2 linked regions of the Tamandua tetradactyla genome follow. The protein of the gene in region 1 interacts with the protein of each later gene in a pairwise test. Links are inferred from orthologs where the notes say so. Each region holds a gene or a part of one and is shown in the gene's direction. Other genes may lie near its edges.

The links.
Region 2: the proteins of alpha-2-macroglobulin-like (region 1) and C8H11orf58 interact in a two-hybrid assay, tested with the Homo sapiens proteins (2 studies listed by BioGRID and IntAct). The link is inferred for Tamandua tetradactyla from reciprocal best matches to the Homo sapiens genes A2M and C11orf58.

The regions. Positions count from the first base shown.
Region 1 is NC_135333.1:71,347,132-71,354,180, reverse strand, and holds the start of alpha-2-macroglobulin-like, read left to right. Parts: upstream 1-4,022; 5' UTR 4,023-4,107; coding exon 4,108-4,190; intron 4,191-6,172; coding exon 6,173-6,356; intron 6,357-7,049. UniProt on the Homo sapiens protein: Is able to inhibit all four classes of proteinases by a unique 'trapping' mechanism. This protein has a peptide stretch, called the 'bait region' which contains specific cleavage sites for different proteinases.
Region 2 is NC_135334.1:92,139,498-92,146,515, forward strand, and holds the start of C8H11orf58 (small acidic protein), read left to right. Parts: upstream 1-3,994; 5' UTR 3,995-4,146; coding exon 4,147-4,209; intron 4,210-7,018.

The DNA.
Region 1 (7,049 bases):
AACTTTAAGAACATATTTTTCTGAGCTACAGATAGTTTCAAACCACCACACACCTTTACCCCATATTCTGCCATAGAAAACTAGAAAGAAAACAACTATATCTTGGCTTAGAAATTAATTGCATTCTTAAAAACTGTAAGAATCATTTTGTTATAAGCAGACTTATCAAGGTCAGCAAGATACAATGTCCACTGGTGAGTAGAATCTGAGGGAAGACCAGGCTTCAAGCCCCCAGACTTCCCCTGGACTGCACTATGGAACGTAAAGTGCAGCCTTTATACCCCAGAGCAGAGTGCCAACGACCACCATTGGATATCCCACTGAAGCCCACTGCCCAGCCATTATTCCAGTTGGAACAATCCAGACTTGGAGAAATGTACTGCTGATCAGAGACAGGTCAATTCTTAGGAGTATTAAATAGGGATTTTCAAAAGTTTGTTGGAAAATTAGCAAAGAAATGAAGAACAAGGTACTTTTTTTAATTTTTAAAATTTTTATAAGAAATAGGTTTACAGAAAAATAATGTAGAAAATACAGAGTACCCATATAACCACACACACACACGTACGCACACACACACAGCTTTCCCTGTTACGAACACTTTACATTAGTGTGGTACATTTATAAAAAGAAATGTACCTGGAACAAGAACCTGAAGTTAGGAGCTGGAGTGGGATGAAGGACCCCATCAAGGGAATTGAATATCCTAGGGCTTTATCTCATGGACTGTAGGAAAGATTATACACCTTTGCCTTTTCCTTCTTCTGCTATACAATTCAATAGTTCCTTTAATTATTCCAACTATTTTACTAAAGTTTAAAACACCAGAACCACATACAGTAATTTTGTGTGGTGATCAGCTGAATTGTAGATGGTATTCTATGGTGTTTCATGTTGGAGACAAGAGCAGATACTTAAGGGAATACTAAAAGAATATTTCTAGATTTGGAGCAGCCTGGTATTTAAGTTATACACTCTTATAGACATTACCCCTTTCAGTAGAGCTTCTTACAGGAGTGAGAGGGTGGCCCAATGAAGATATCCAATAAGGACCTAGAATTCCTGTATTCTGAACTGCTGCATGGGATAAATCCGTGCTTGGAAATCAGATGCACAGTGAATTTAAGGAACCTATCCCAGACCCGATGAGCCACAGGAGAAGTAGCAAATTTAAATTTTTCTCAAAATGGTCCTGTGTCACACAAACAGCTGCTTCACAGAAAAGATTTTGCCTTAAATATGAAATTGAAACAGCTGTTACTGCTTTGTAATAAAGTTTAAATGAAGTATCATGTCTTACATAACATTTCTTTCTGCTGAGACAAAAATGAACTATAGTAAAAACTCTCTTAACCAGTTTTACCACCAGGTGAAATTGCATTCTCTGTCGTAGAAAATGAAATTAGTGGAATATTAAATACTTGTGACTAATAATATTTTGTAGTATTCCATACACTTTTGCTCCTAGCAGATAGATGAGTTATATGCTTGCTGAGAATCATTGTAATATATTCCCCTAATTATTTTTCAGATCCCATGGCAGTGTTTATTCCCCAGGAACAGAGATAAGAACGGGGATGAAACTCCAAAGGGAAACAGAAACACAGATGACGAAATGACGCTAAGGTGTCATGACTCAGGAGTCAGGGGTGGCTGATCCAGTGGACCTGATCACAGCACAAGTCCCTGGTTTCTGAGGGTGACATCTGCACACCCCAAATGCCAAGTGAGGATGTGGAGGGTGGGGTAGAGATGTGGAAAGCTCCCTACACTATATAAAGCAAATGAACGCACCTACCAGTTCTGAGAGGTCTCTCTGGAGCACCAAAGTCTTCCCTTTCAAGAACAAAGGTAAGCTGGCAAGGATGAAAGGGACTTGGGTGCCACAGACAGCCTGAGACTCACACAACAGTCTGCTATGCCTGACGGCATATGTGCTCACATAAAAGTACAAGGGACGCAACCACTGGTCCAGGCAGCTTCAAGTGTTATGGTGGAGATGATCGATCTTGCCAAATTGGACCCAAGAGCAGTTATTACCAGAAATGTTATTTCTGTTCACTTCAGAGGAGATTGCCTGTGTTGAATTAGAGCCACTGTCCTTTTCACAGATGTTTCACAGCTTCTATCCCCCTTTCTGACATGCTCCTGCCCCCTGCAAGCCTAGTCTTCTAGAAAACAGATTGGTGAGTGTGCTAGAAAAGCCATGTTTTAATCAAAATTCCATTTTGTAAAGGCAGAATAATCCCTATTCAATACTGTATGTTTGAAACTGTAATCAGATCATCTCTCTGGAGATGTGATTTAATCAAGAGTAGTTGTTAAGTTGGGTTAGGTGATGACATGTCTCCACCCATTTGGGTGGGTCTTGATAAGTTCTGGAGTCCTATAAAAGAGGAAACATTTTGAAGAATGAGAGCAATTCAGAGAGAGCAGAGCAGAATGACATAGCCACGAGAAGAAGAGTCCACCAGCCAGCAACCTTTGGAGTTGAAGAAGGAAAATGTCTCTGGGGGAGCTTCATGAAACAGGAAGCCAGGAGAAGAAGCTAGCAGATGAGAAGCTGTGTTCTCCATGTGCCCTTCCAGATGAGAAAGGAACTCATTGTGTTTACTATGTGCCCTTCCACTTGAAAGAGAAACCTTGAACTTCATCAGCCTTCTTGAACCAAGGTATCTTTCCCTGGATGCCTTCGATTGAACATTATTCTATAGATTTGTTTTAATTGGGATAGTTTCTCAGCCTCAGAACTATAAACTAGCAACTTATTAAAGTTCCCTTTTTAAAAGCCATTCCATTTCTGGTATATTGCATTCCAGCAGCTAGCAACTAGAACAGTGAGGTCAAGGCAAAAACTCTGCCCTATCCTCACACCCCCATGATGCTGAAGTCTCTATTGCACACACCTCTGAGAACGAGGTTGTCTGGGGTGGGCACAGTCCTTCAGGGGCTCCCCCCATCCCTGTGGCCCATGTAGAGTAAATCAATTATATTATTATTATAATTACAAATTATAATAATAAATTAAAAGTCTAGAAAGACTCAATGGAAATGGATAATTTTTTAAATGTCGTTTGATAATTTCGACAAACTAAGACATAGAGGAAATAACTATACATTTTAGGGGAAAGTTTACTTGTCTGTTTTCACCCCCACAAGAATCTGAGACTTTTATGCTTCTTTGATCATTCTATCTCTAGGACACTGCATGGCGCTTATCTCTTAGTAGGTTCAATGAACCTACAACTGAATGGTTGAATGAATGGATTGTTTACATAGACCAATGATTGAAGAGGAGCAGCATATTCATAAGGCAGTAATGTAGTTGAGGGAGAAGGCAATTGGGCTCTTTGTCAGTCACAGTAGGACAGAACTCACTTCAGAACTCACTTTTGAGGTCCTGCTACTTTTACCTTTCACTTTCTTTTTTATCTTTCCTTTTATCTTTCACTTTCTTAAAAGAGAAAATGTGTGCCTATTCCCATTCTTTCAGGATCTGGTTCTTCATCTGCAATTTAGCAATATCCTTAAAGTAAAACTGTTAGCTTAAGGTATTACTCCAATCCAGATTGATACTTCCACAGGGGGCTACTGAATTCTGAAGTACCTTCCATATTTAATTAGGTATATCTAATGGATGATTGCAGGCACAGTGACTTGTGGTGAAACAACTATTTTGAGCTTGCCCAGTGCTGCTTAATCTGCAGTCTCCCCTGCCAACTATTCATGCAAGAGATGTAAGGAGGGCCATTAAAAGCAATGGGGAGGAGGTGAGGGAAGGACTTGAAAAGCCCTGATTAGCTGCTTTACAGTAAAACCCAGAGAAAGTGTGGACTAACAGGAATGTGGATCTTATCCTCCAGGAATTCTATTTAGCCAGCCAGGAATTAACCTTGACTGTAATTTGGCTGTCACTAAGAGCAATGACCCTTTCAAAAAAATGTTTAGAGACCTCAACTTTGTTTACAGACCTGTGTGGGTGGAACTTCCTGTTTACACAAAGTGCAGTATAAAGCCCAGTTTCTTGTGGGGGTTTGAGGACCAGACCAAGTGCATGGAGTAGGGCACAATACAATCTGCTGTCTTCACGTACTTTCTCCCTGCAGCATGGGGCAGAACAAACCCCTTCATCCAAGTCTTCTTCTCCTCCTGGTCCTCCTGCCCATGGATGCCTCCGTCTCTGGAGAACCGTGAGTTTCAGAGTTTGAATATTCCTTTATTTCAAATTGTCCTTTATAGGATTCCTTTGTCTCTCCTATGAAACTGTGTCCTTCTTTTCTCTAAGTTCCCTTCCAATCATTAGATTTTGTTTATCCATTTTTCACTTCGCCTTGACTCTTTTGCTCTGACTCCCTGGATCTCAGAATCTCTAAATTCCCAAAGTATATGCAAAGGCCTTCTAGAGAGCATAGAAAATTGATACGTTTAAAATTATCAATTTCCAGACTCTTACGTTCATTTTGATCTGCCTGTGATCATGCTGTTGATCCTTTCATATCACACACACACCCTTTTTCTTAATCGCCCATCTTCCACTTTTTAAAAGAAAGATAAACTCCTTCAACCAGAACCTACAGTGGCACATTGTGCCAAATAAAGTAACCATTTGAAATACTGATGTTGATATTGAGAAAGTGAAAAGTTTCCAATGACAGGGGAGAAAATCCTTTTACAGATCAGGTAGTGACCAACTTTTATTTAAATAAAATTGAAGGATCTACAGGAAATATCAGTTGATGCACTGATAATAGAGTTTTGCTTATTTGGGGCATGTAATGCAAACGTTGCAAAAAATGAGTGATGATGATACATTTGTTTTACCTGTCATTTATTTAATTATAATATGAACAATTTTTCTCAGCACTTCTATTTACATGACCCAAAAATAGGAACAGAATTAATGTTAAACCTTGTTTAATCCTTACAATAAGGCATATTCATCCATGGATACATAAATTTGGAAGGAAAGTCTGCTTTCATTATTGTGAAAAATGTGCTTCAAAAGTATGTTAATTTTATATGTATGAATCAGAATTTGTAATATATTTTTATCTATCACATACTTATCAATCACTTCTGAAAATAATTCAACCCAGAAGAAAAATTTTAAATTTTTAAACTTCATAGTCTTATTAAAGTTAAAAGAATTAAAGCTAAATTAATACATCCTCATATACTATTGCATATATACAAATGTACATTTTGAAGCATAAAAATCTTAAGATAAACTTCTGTATGTTGAGACATGGAAATTCAAGTTCAAGGAGGACAAAAGGGAAAGACGTTAAACTTATAACCATCAAAAAAAAAGGATTTTTAATATATTTTAAAAATAGATGATATTGGATCTCCTACTATGATATATAAAATTTCATGGACACCTTATAAGGGTAATGTAAGTTTTCATTTAAAATGTCATCAGAAATATCTTTTGCTATTATTTAGACTTGTGATGAAAAATAGATGTTTTCCTGAAAATATGTAAGGGTGAACAGTGCCAAAATATTAGGAGTTCTGTTATCAAAGTGTTTGAAAAATTGCAGGTCACATATATGCCCCATATATATATTTAGTAACTCCTTCCAACTCACGAGTTATTAAAATCCTGGAGCTCTTGTCTAGCCATGAGATGAAAGGCAAATATTTGAAATGCAAACGCCCATGTGTAGGTAATACATTAAGACTTCATTATTTACCACAATTAAAACTTTTGGCTGTTGATTCACTTTCTTTAGGCCTCAGATTGCCATTTCATTTTCACTAGGTTATTGAATATACATAGGCAATTAAAGTTCTGTAAATTGACTGGCTTTTATAATACCCACATCCCATGCCCCAGCAATCCTCATGTAAAATAGATTTACAACATGAATAAACAATTGACATTTTAAATTTGAGTTCAGATACTCGCATATAGAGATTGCTTAAAGTGACGTACATTTGTAAAATTTGAATAGGTTTAAGACCCACTTTAAGTAAAGTGTTCACTGCCATGGCACTGCTGATGCAAAAGGGGACTAATTCTCGTGCAGGCTATTCAACAAAAATGTCAAATTCATGCTTAGCAAGTCAGTCTTCTCTTGGTCTAGAACTAATGACGATGATAACTGTGATGGAAATGGTGCTGTTGGTGACAGTGCTGCTGCTCTGTCTGGACTTCCTTCCTTCTCAGGCAGTATATGGCGCTGGTCCCCTCTCTGCTCCACACTGAGACCCCCGAGAAAGGCTGCCTCCTTCTGAGCCACCTGAATGAGACAGTGACTGTAACGGCTTCCCTGGAGTCTTTGAGGAGAAACCAAAGCCTCTTCACTGACCTCGTGGCAGAAAAGGACCTGTTCCACTGCTTCTCCTTCACTGTGAGTATGGCTGTCTATTTAATATGCTGGATTCTACAGGTCAGTCAAGAGAAGGCTCTAGGAGGCTGGTAACAACTTCTTGAAAGAATCTAAATGTGGCAACTGAGTACAGCAATTAAAGAACTATGCGTGAATTTCCAGCCATGAGGGACAGAAATATTTAAAGGCATTTAAAAAAAACAACTTAATGATCAAAGAAAACTCCTGTTGGCCAAGTGTAGTGGGTGGAGGTGGGGAGGGAGAACTGTGTGCATTAGACAAAAGGAAAATGCGATTTCTCCTTAACATCAAAATGGACTAAGCATTAACAAAGCAAACTAGGCCAAAGCTAAACATGAGTTTCCAAGTGTGGGTTGATAGGAATACACTACCTACACTCCTTTCAAGAGTGAAACTTGTAGAAATTGCTTTGAGCAAATGTCAAATGTCTCTTCAAAATTGGGAAATATGGGATGTTTACATCCAGTTCCAATAAAATATTTGTAGTTTTTTTTCTCACAAGCTTAAGACATACTTTTATCCTGCCCTATTAACATATGGTATCAACTTGGTAAATTTCAGGGTGTAACTGAAATCAATACTGAACTGTCTCAGCTATATGGAGACATGAGTCTCATTCATGATCTTTCCTACTAAATGAAGTATTTCCCTCCATTTGGTAGGCCAGAAATTACTTCTCCTTATTAAAATAGG
Region 2 (7,018 bases), on another chromosome or scaffold:
AGAGGAATAAAATATTTTGCTTTAATCTCTTCTATAGTCAGAGATTTCGTGTGCCTATTGAACATGCTGTTCTTTTCTAAAATAATAACATGTCACCTGCAAAGTTATTAGAGTCAAAGTAACTAGCAAGAAGCTTTGTTGGCCTTCTCTCCTTAGAAATTCTGAACTACAACCTTCAAAAAGTCACTGTCAAAAAGATGTTCATGATATACTCTTAAGAAAAAAAAAGTAGGGTTATAACAATTGTACAGAATTATCCTATTTTAGGAAAAATATTACATAGAATATTGCAAAGAAATAAGTCTGAAAACCCGTATTGCAAAGTCTTAACAGTGGTTATTATTTTGGGGGGGTGAGATTATAAGTATTTTTAATTTTAATATTTTTCTTGCCTATAAATATATTTTAACTTATCTTCAATGCACATATATTATTGTGGTAAGGAAAATTATTACATAGTTTAGTAAATAAGTATTTTATTCATTTTCAGCACATTATATTTTTATATGTAAAAATAAAAAAGTATTTTTATACTTTTAAAAAATCCTTATATATACTTATCTGTATCACTTATATCTGTATCATATAAGCAGATTAAAATTTTAAGTATAATTTCCAAAATAGTAAAATCATGACTTTCATATAAATATAAGTGCTTAATGGACACAGGATTTCATTTTGGAATGATGAAAATGTTCTGGAATTAGTAATGGTTATAGCTGTACAACATTGTGAATATAACAAAAACTACTAAATTGTATACTTTTAAATGGTTAAAATGATAAATTTTATGTTATATGAGTTTTATTTTACATTCTAAAAAGTTAGAGAAAAAAAAAAACTTCTGAAGGCAACAGGCAACTTCACACCAACTCAGATTATTATAATCAAAAGAGACCCAGGTTCGATTCCCAAAGCCTGCCCATGCCAAAAAACAAACAACAACAACTACTACATAAAAAACAAAAACAGGAAAATGCACAAAGTTCCTCTTTGGAAAGATGGACATATTCTGGTATTGGATGGTGGTGATGACAGAACATTGTGAATGTAATTAACATTTCTGAACTGTACATCTGAATGTGGTTAAAAGGGGAAATGTTAGGTTGCTTATAAGATACTAGAATAAAAATTTTTTAAAAACTCCATGGAACAGCATAACACAGTGAATCCTAAGTTAAACTATGGACTAAAGTGAATAGTACAATTATTAAAATGTGCTTTCATCAACTGTAACAAATATATCACACCTATGCAAAGTATTAATGGGGTGGTATATGGGAATCCTGTGTTTTATGCATGATTGTTGTATAAACCTACAACTTCTCTAATTAAAAAAGTAAAGGTTCTAACTTCTTCAAATATATGGGGAGTCATAAAACAATGAGATACTGATTTACTTTAGATTAGAATAAAAGGTAAACTATAACTACGGATTTATTAAAAACAAAATGAATAGCCTCGAATCACTAGAAAAAAAGAGACTAGAAGGAATTGTTCTTAGATATTAATAGTGGTTACCTCAGAATGTCTCAGGTAAAACAACAACAGGTCTTCTGTAGAGAAAATATTCTTTGAAGCTTTTATTTCCTCTTTAGGTTTGTAAACTATGCTCAGTTGTGACTATCCTTAGTTGAATGGAATGTTAATGTATGTACTCAACAAACATTTATGATTGCCTACTACATGCTAAGAACCGGGTATTGAAAAATGAAGAAGGCATGGTTTCTACCCTTGGAAAAGAATTTCAAAATTCTATTAAAAACAAGCTCTCCTTTCCTTGTCTTTACTACTCAAAAAAGGACACTGCTGAGTTTCTAGGCCTTATATGAGATGCCACTCTGTTACACTATATAAGTTCATTTTTCCTATATTAATTAAAAAATACTTATTGACTACTTTGTGTCTAAAATGAAATAGATACAATCCTGAAGAATGTATTTCAAAGTTCCCCTTGTAACAGAGTATCTTGTTTTTAGCACAAGAAGAGCATTACTAGGTTTCTATATCACATATACATTGTCATTTTATTATACTGTATCATTCCATCCTTACCTATAGGCTTCTGTATATGAAGGAAAATCTGATAAAATGATCTGAATAAAATTTGATAAAATGATCCAGTCTTTATTATGTCTTATATTACTTTCTGGCTTGTGTTCTTGTTTCAATGACAACCTGAAGACTTAGCCATCCAGATGTCAACAATTCTAGTAAAGAAAGAAAAGACATGTTGCTAGCTTATTAAATTTTTCCAAACTTTCACTAATTTTTAAAGTAAGAACTATTTTTTAAATTTCAGTCTAAAGTATCTATTAAGTCATACCATTTATTTACTGGTAATACAGCTAAGAGTTCTAAATAATATACATTACACTCTGTTAAACCCATTGGAGAACTGTAATCCATCCCAGAAAAATGTAACTTAATTTCATTGTAATTATATTTATAGAACCTTGGTAGAATCATGAAGTAGGTAAAATAATTTGTAGCAAATATAAGCAAACACTTCCAAAAGGTGCTCTCGGCATAGGTTTACTCCTCTAACATGATTTACGGTTTATTTTTACCACGGAACAGATAGATTGAGGTGCCCTGTGCTTGGTTACACTTAATAAAACATGACCCTGTTCACTTTTTAAAAAATATTATCCTAATTATACTACTGGTATTCCTCTGCTTTCAAAATAAAGGAGAATTTGAATATATGATGTATAATTAAAGAACTGTCTCACACCTAAGGAAGTCACAATTTCTACACAGGCAGTCAAACTGGAGTAATTGCTAAGCTCAGAAGCTAGCAGTTAAGCACTGTTTCACAGACTGCTCTCGGCACTAAAACACAAAATCTGTGCTGTCATACCACTTACTGATTTTTGCTTTAAAGTATATAAAGTTTTGATCGAGGTCAGAAAGCCCCACGATATGCCAGGTCCTGACAGAAGGTTAGAGTTGAAAGGTAATCAATCAGGTTCAGGCCTGGTTAAAAATTCAAACATCCTCAATACTGCAGGAATGAGACTATGGTATTGGAATAATACGTTAAGATACAGGGCTTTCTGAGCAGACTAGTGGTTATCAGGGGTTGCTTAATGGGCAAGGTGTTTCCTTTTAAGGTAAAAATGTCTTGCACAACACTGATAATGTACCGAATGCCAAAGAACTGTACACTTTAAAACGGTACTTTTTAAAAGTAAAACATAAAATAATTTTTTTTTTTAAAAAGCACGATACAGGGCTTTCTGGCAGAAATGAACTTCACTTGGAGAAGGCCCAGACATTACAATGCCTATCCATCGGTAGCAAAATCGGATAGTGTCACGCCCACCTCAAACAAAGCAGTGTGGAAAGCTTCAAGTATTCTCCCGGCTCGACCCTAGCTTTAATAACAGCCAATTAGCCGGCACTCGACGTGCTGGACTCATTTAGGTGAGAATGAGAAATCACCAAGACATTCGTCAAACTCTTCTAGAAAGAGGCATCACCAGTCACCTAGAAATACTCTGTGAGCAATAGGCAACACACACCAAGGGTGGGAACCACAGAAGCCATTTTTTTTTAAGGTTTTTTTTGGGTTTTTTTGTTTTGTTGTTGTTGTTTGTCATGAGGGGAGGGTACTCAGAAGATTCTATAAGCCAAAAACGACATTACATTCCAACCTAGGTGCTTAATTACAACGGATGCATTTGCCAACGGGGAAGCGTCTCACGGTGAAATGTGAAAACCCAGTCTAACTCTCTTTCTCAGGCGTCGAAACTTTCTTCCAACGCTCACCACCATCACCGCCATCATCGCCATACCCGTCAGCAGAAAAGCTCCCTCCACCAGCCGAAGAGGGCGGAGACTTAGAGGGCACTCCCGCCCCACAGCGCGAACTGCGCCCGCTGGGATTCCTGGGATCTGTAGTTTTAGTCAGCGTCCATCCTTTGTGTAGACACGTAAGGAGAGAGCCAGAAAACTACAATTCCCAGAGTGGACCGGGGTGGCGAGCACCCGCGGCAGTGACGACTGTGGCCGAGAAGGCCCGAAGGGCTCTGCGTTCTGGAGTGGCGCTGCTTGAACGGGTGGCAGGGTGCAGGCTGGTATCTCCGCGGCTGAGGCGAACGGCGGGTGGATTCGGCATTTCCTGTCGAGATCCCCGCAACGATGAGTGCTGCCAGGGAGTCCCACCCGCACGGGGTGAAGCGTTCAGCCTCCCCAGACGACGATGTAAATAACAATGGAGGAATGGTTGAGGGTTGAGGCCTACTAAAGGCTGCGGTAGGCCGGAAAGGGTGGATGAAGAAGAACGCGCCAGAGGTGGCCCAAAGGCGGAAGGTTGGGGGGGGGGGGAGGAACCAGTAGAATTACTGGAAATGTATATCTTCCTTAGTTAGGGTCGGAAAGTGTGAAAACAAGGTCCATACGCCAAGAGCCAGAGACCTGCGTAGGAAGGGGGCTTGAAGAAGGATACCCTCAAAGGGTCAAGAAGTGAAAGAGCTTAATGAAAGGATCCTCATATTTGCGTATTTGGAGAAAAAGGAATGGGGAATGTGATAGTGCTTCTTTTGGACCTTTCTATTCAGCGTAGAAATAGCAAGACTTTCTGTGTTTTACCTTTTAATTACACCTATGATAACGTCAAGATGTTCGTCAGATTGAAGTAAATTTTTTGGGCAGGGTGGTTTTTCAGTGTACTCGTATGACCGAAAACAATGTTAGGCCGAAAATTTTACCAGGGGAATAATTTGGTACTGGCACATGGTGGTGAGGTCCAAGGCGGTGAGACCTAGAAGTCCATTTTGATGTCAGATGCCTCATTTTCCCTTCTCTTGGGAAAATTCTTCCAGCTCAGTTTGTCAGTTTAAATAACAAACCACTAACTCTTTAAAGTAACCCATAAAATATTTACTGCTTTACCTGGTGTTGGGAATGCAGAGATGAATAGGTATCGTGCGCCTTTTTGTATATTTGTCGTAGCGCAGTGTCATGGAGACTGCAGGTAATCGGTATACCTAAAACCAAATCTTTCCTACAATAGATGATGCCATGGGAACGTTGATGGGGAAATTGAGGTTACGGGTGGGCTGGGAGGTGGAAAAGTCCTTACAGGCGAGGTCAAATTTAAGGATAATGAAGGGATGACATCTAGTTTTATTTCAGTTACTGTTACTGATTTTTGAATGTGTAGACTTTTCAATAATGCAGTTAAATGCTTCTCATAATCTTATTTTGTGAACCATAAGAAGGCGGTGGAATACTACTAATGCCATCAGTTGTAATAGAGGAAATGGTGGTAAGAGCCACTCCTCTGTAGTTGGAAGGTGAGATGAAGACCAGAACTGTAAGGGTGTTTAAGGAGATTAATTTTAGGTCCTTAGATTTGGGACTAATGGTTATCCAGTAAGTTTTATTTATGCCCTCTCTTTCTCCCTTCTACTAGCCTTCAGGGTTTTGAGTAACTTAGCTGCCATTTTTAAAGCTATTTGTTTTCCTCCTGGTATTTGTTAGCTGTGGCTTGATTGCTAGGATGTCAGCCACCTGTTTTGCAGAGAAATAATTAGCCTAACAGAAAACTCCAGGTGATATTTTTGTTATTTAACGGAAAGTTAAAGGGATTAAGTCTCTGCAACTTCTGATGCAGTCAGTTAAACTCTATCTTTAAAACCTTTTAAAATTCTAGAGTCATTCCCTTTGAAGGAGATCGTTATAGTTGCAATTCAAGATTAGGGCCTTCACACACTAAAAATGATTTTATTGCTAATGTTATAGTACAGTGCAGTACAGTAAGTTTCCCTCGATCTTGTTTGAAGTCAGTTTTTTCTTTAATGTGAATTTTTATTATTTTTACTGGTAATTGGGGTTATCGTTAAGTACTTGATTTTAGTAATTTTTAGTAGTTTTTTAATTATTACTTTAATAATGTAAAGTATATTACATTATTACATTATTACTTTAAAAATGTGAAATATATTTTAAAGAAATAAATCTAAATTGTTGTGGAAAACCAACTTAGTTATAATACATAGTTGGTCAACAGTCTCTAATGAACGTCCACTGCATGTAAAATACATCACTTTTCCTTTGCCCACTGAGCTTATTTGTTAATTGGAAGTAACGATATATACATATTTTTGGAAGTAACTGTATTTTAAAAGATATTAAAAGTAGAAATTGCATTAACAAATAGAACTCTCAGAAAATGTTGGCAGTATAGAAGTAAATTTTAAGTAAGCATTATTAGGGGATGTTTCGAGGAGGTAGATTGATTGCAGTTCTATGGTAAATGTTATTAAGGGTACTGAGGATGAAGACAACTTAAAAATTGCTTCAGTGGTTTCAGTGTTTTATTGATTTGATTGGAATGGAGAAATCAAAACTATCTTTGGGGAGTGGGGAGGTTAATTTTAGCAACTGGTGGAGAGAGAATATACTGGGCCTCCCTGTGCTTTTTCGAATGCAGCACTTGAACGATGTACTACTTGCTCTTATACTCTAAGGCCTTTGAAAGGAAGCATGAGAGGACTAAATGGATGAATCAGAAGGATTAAAGAAAACATTAAGATGATAGGGTTGTTTATGTAAATCATTGAGAATGTTTGTTCTTTCAATGTTGATAGAATGGGAAAAGTTTTGTTTTTTAGACAGGTTTCTTTTTAACTTAAATCTGTACAATTTTATAACTGGTTCATAGGCTATTTTCTCATACTCTTATTTCATCTGATCATCCAATATGATGTGGAAAGAGCAGAGGAGTTAAGGTTAGAGGATCTAGGCAAGTTACTTAGCCTCTCTGCACCTCAGGATCCTTATTTGTTAAATGGACTGTTGTAAGGAGCTCTTGAGAGAATGTAAGTGAAAAGCACTTTGTAAATTGCAAAACATTGAGCAGTTGTTTGTGTTAAGACAATCTTTTAAAGAAGCCTCTGTAGATAAGGAATTAAAACTAAGAATTTAAATGTTAGGTTTAGACTCACAAAGGAGGAGATTTAGTGAAAAGCCGAACTGAAGTTTCACCAGTACTTTTTTTTTTTTTAAC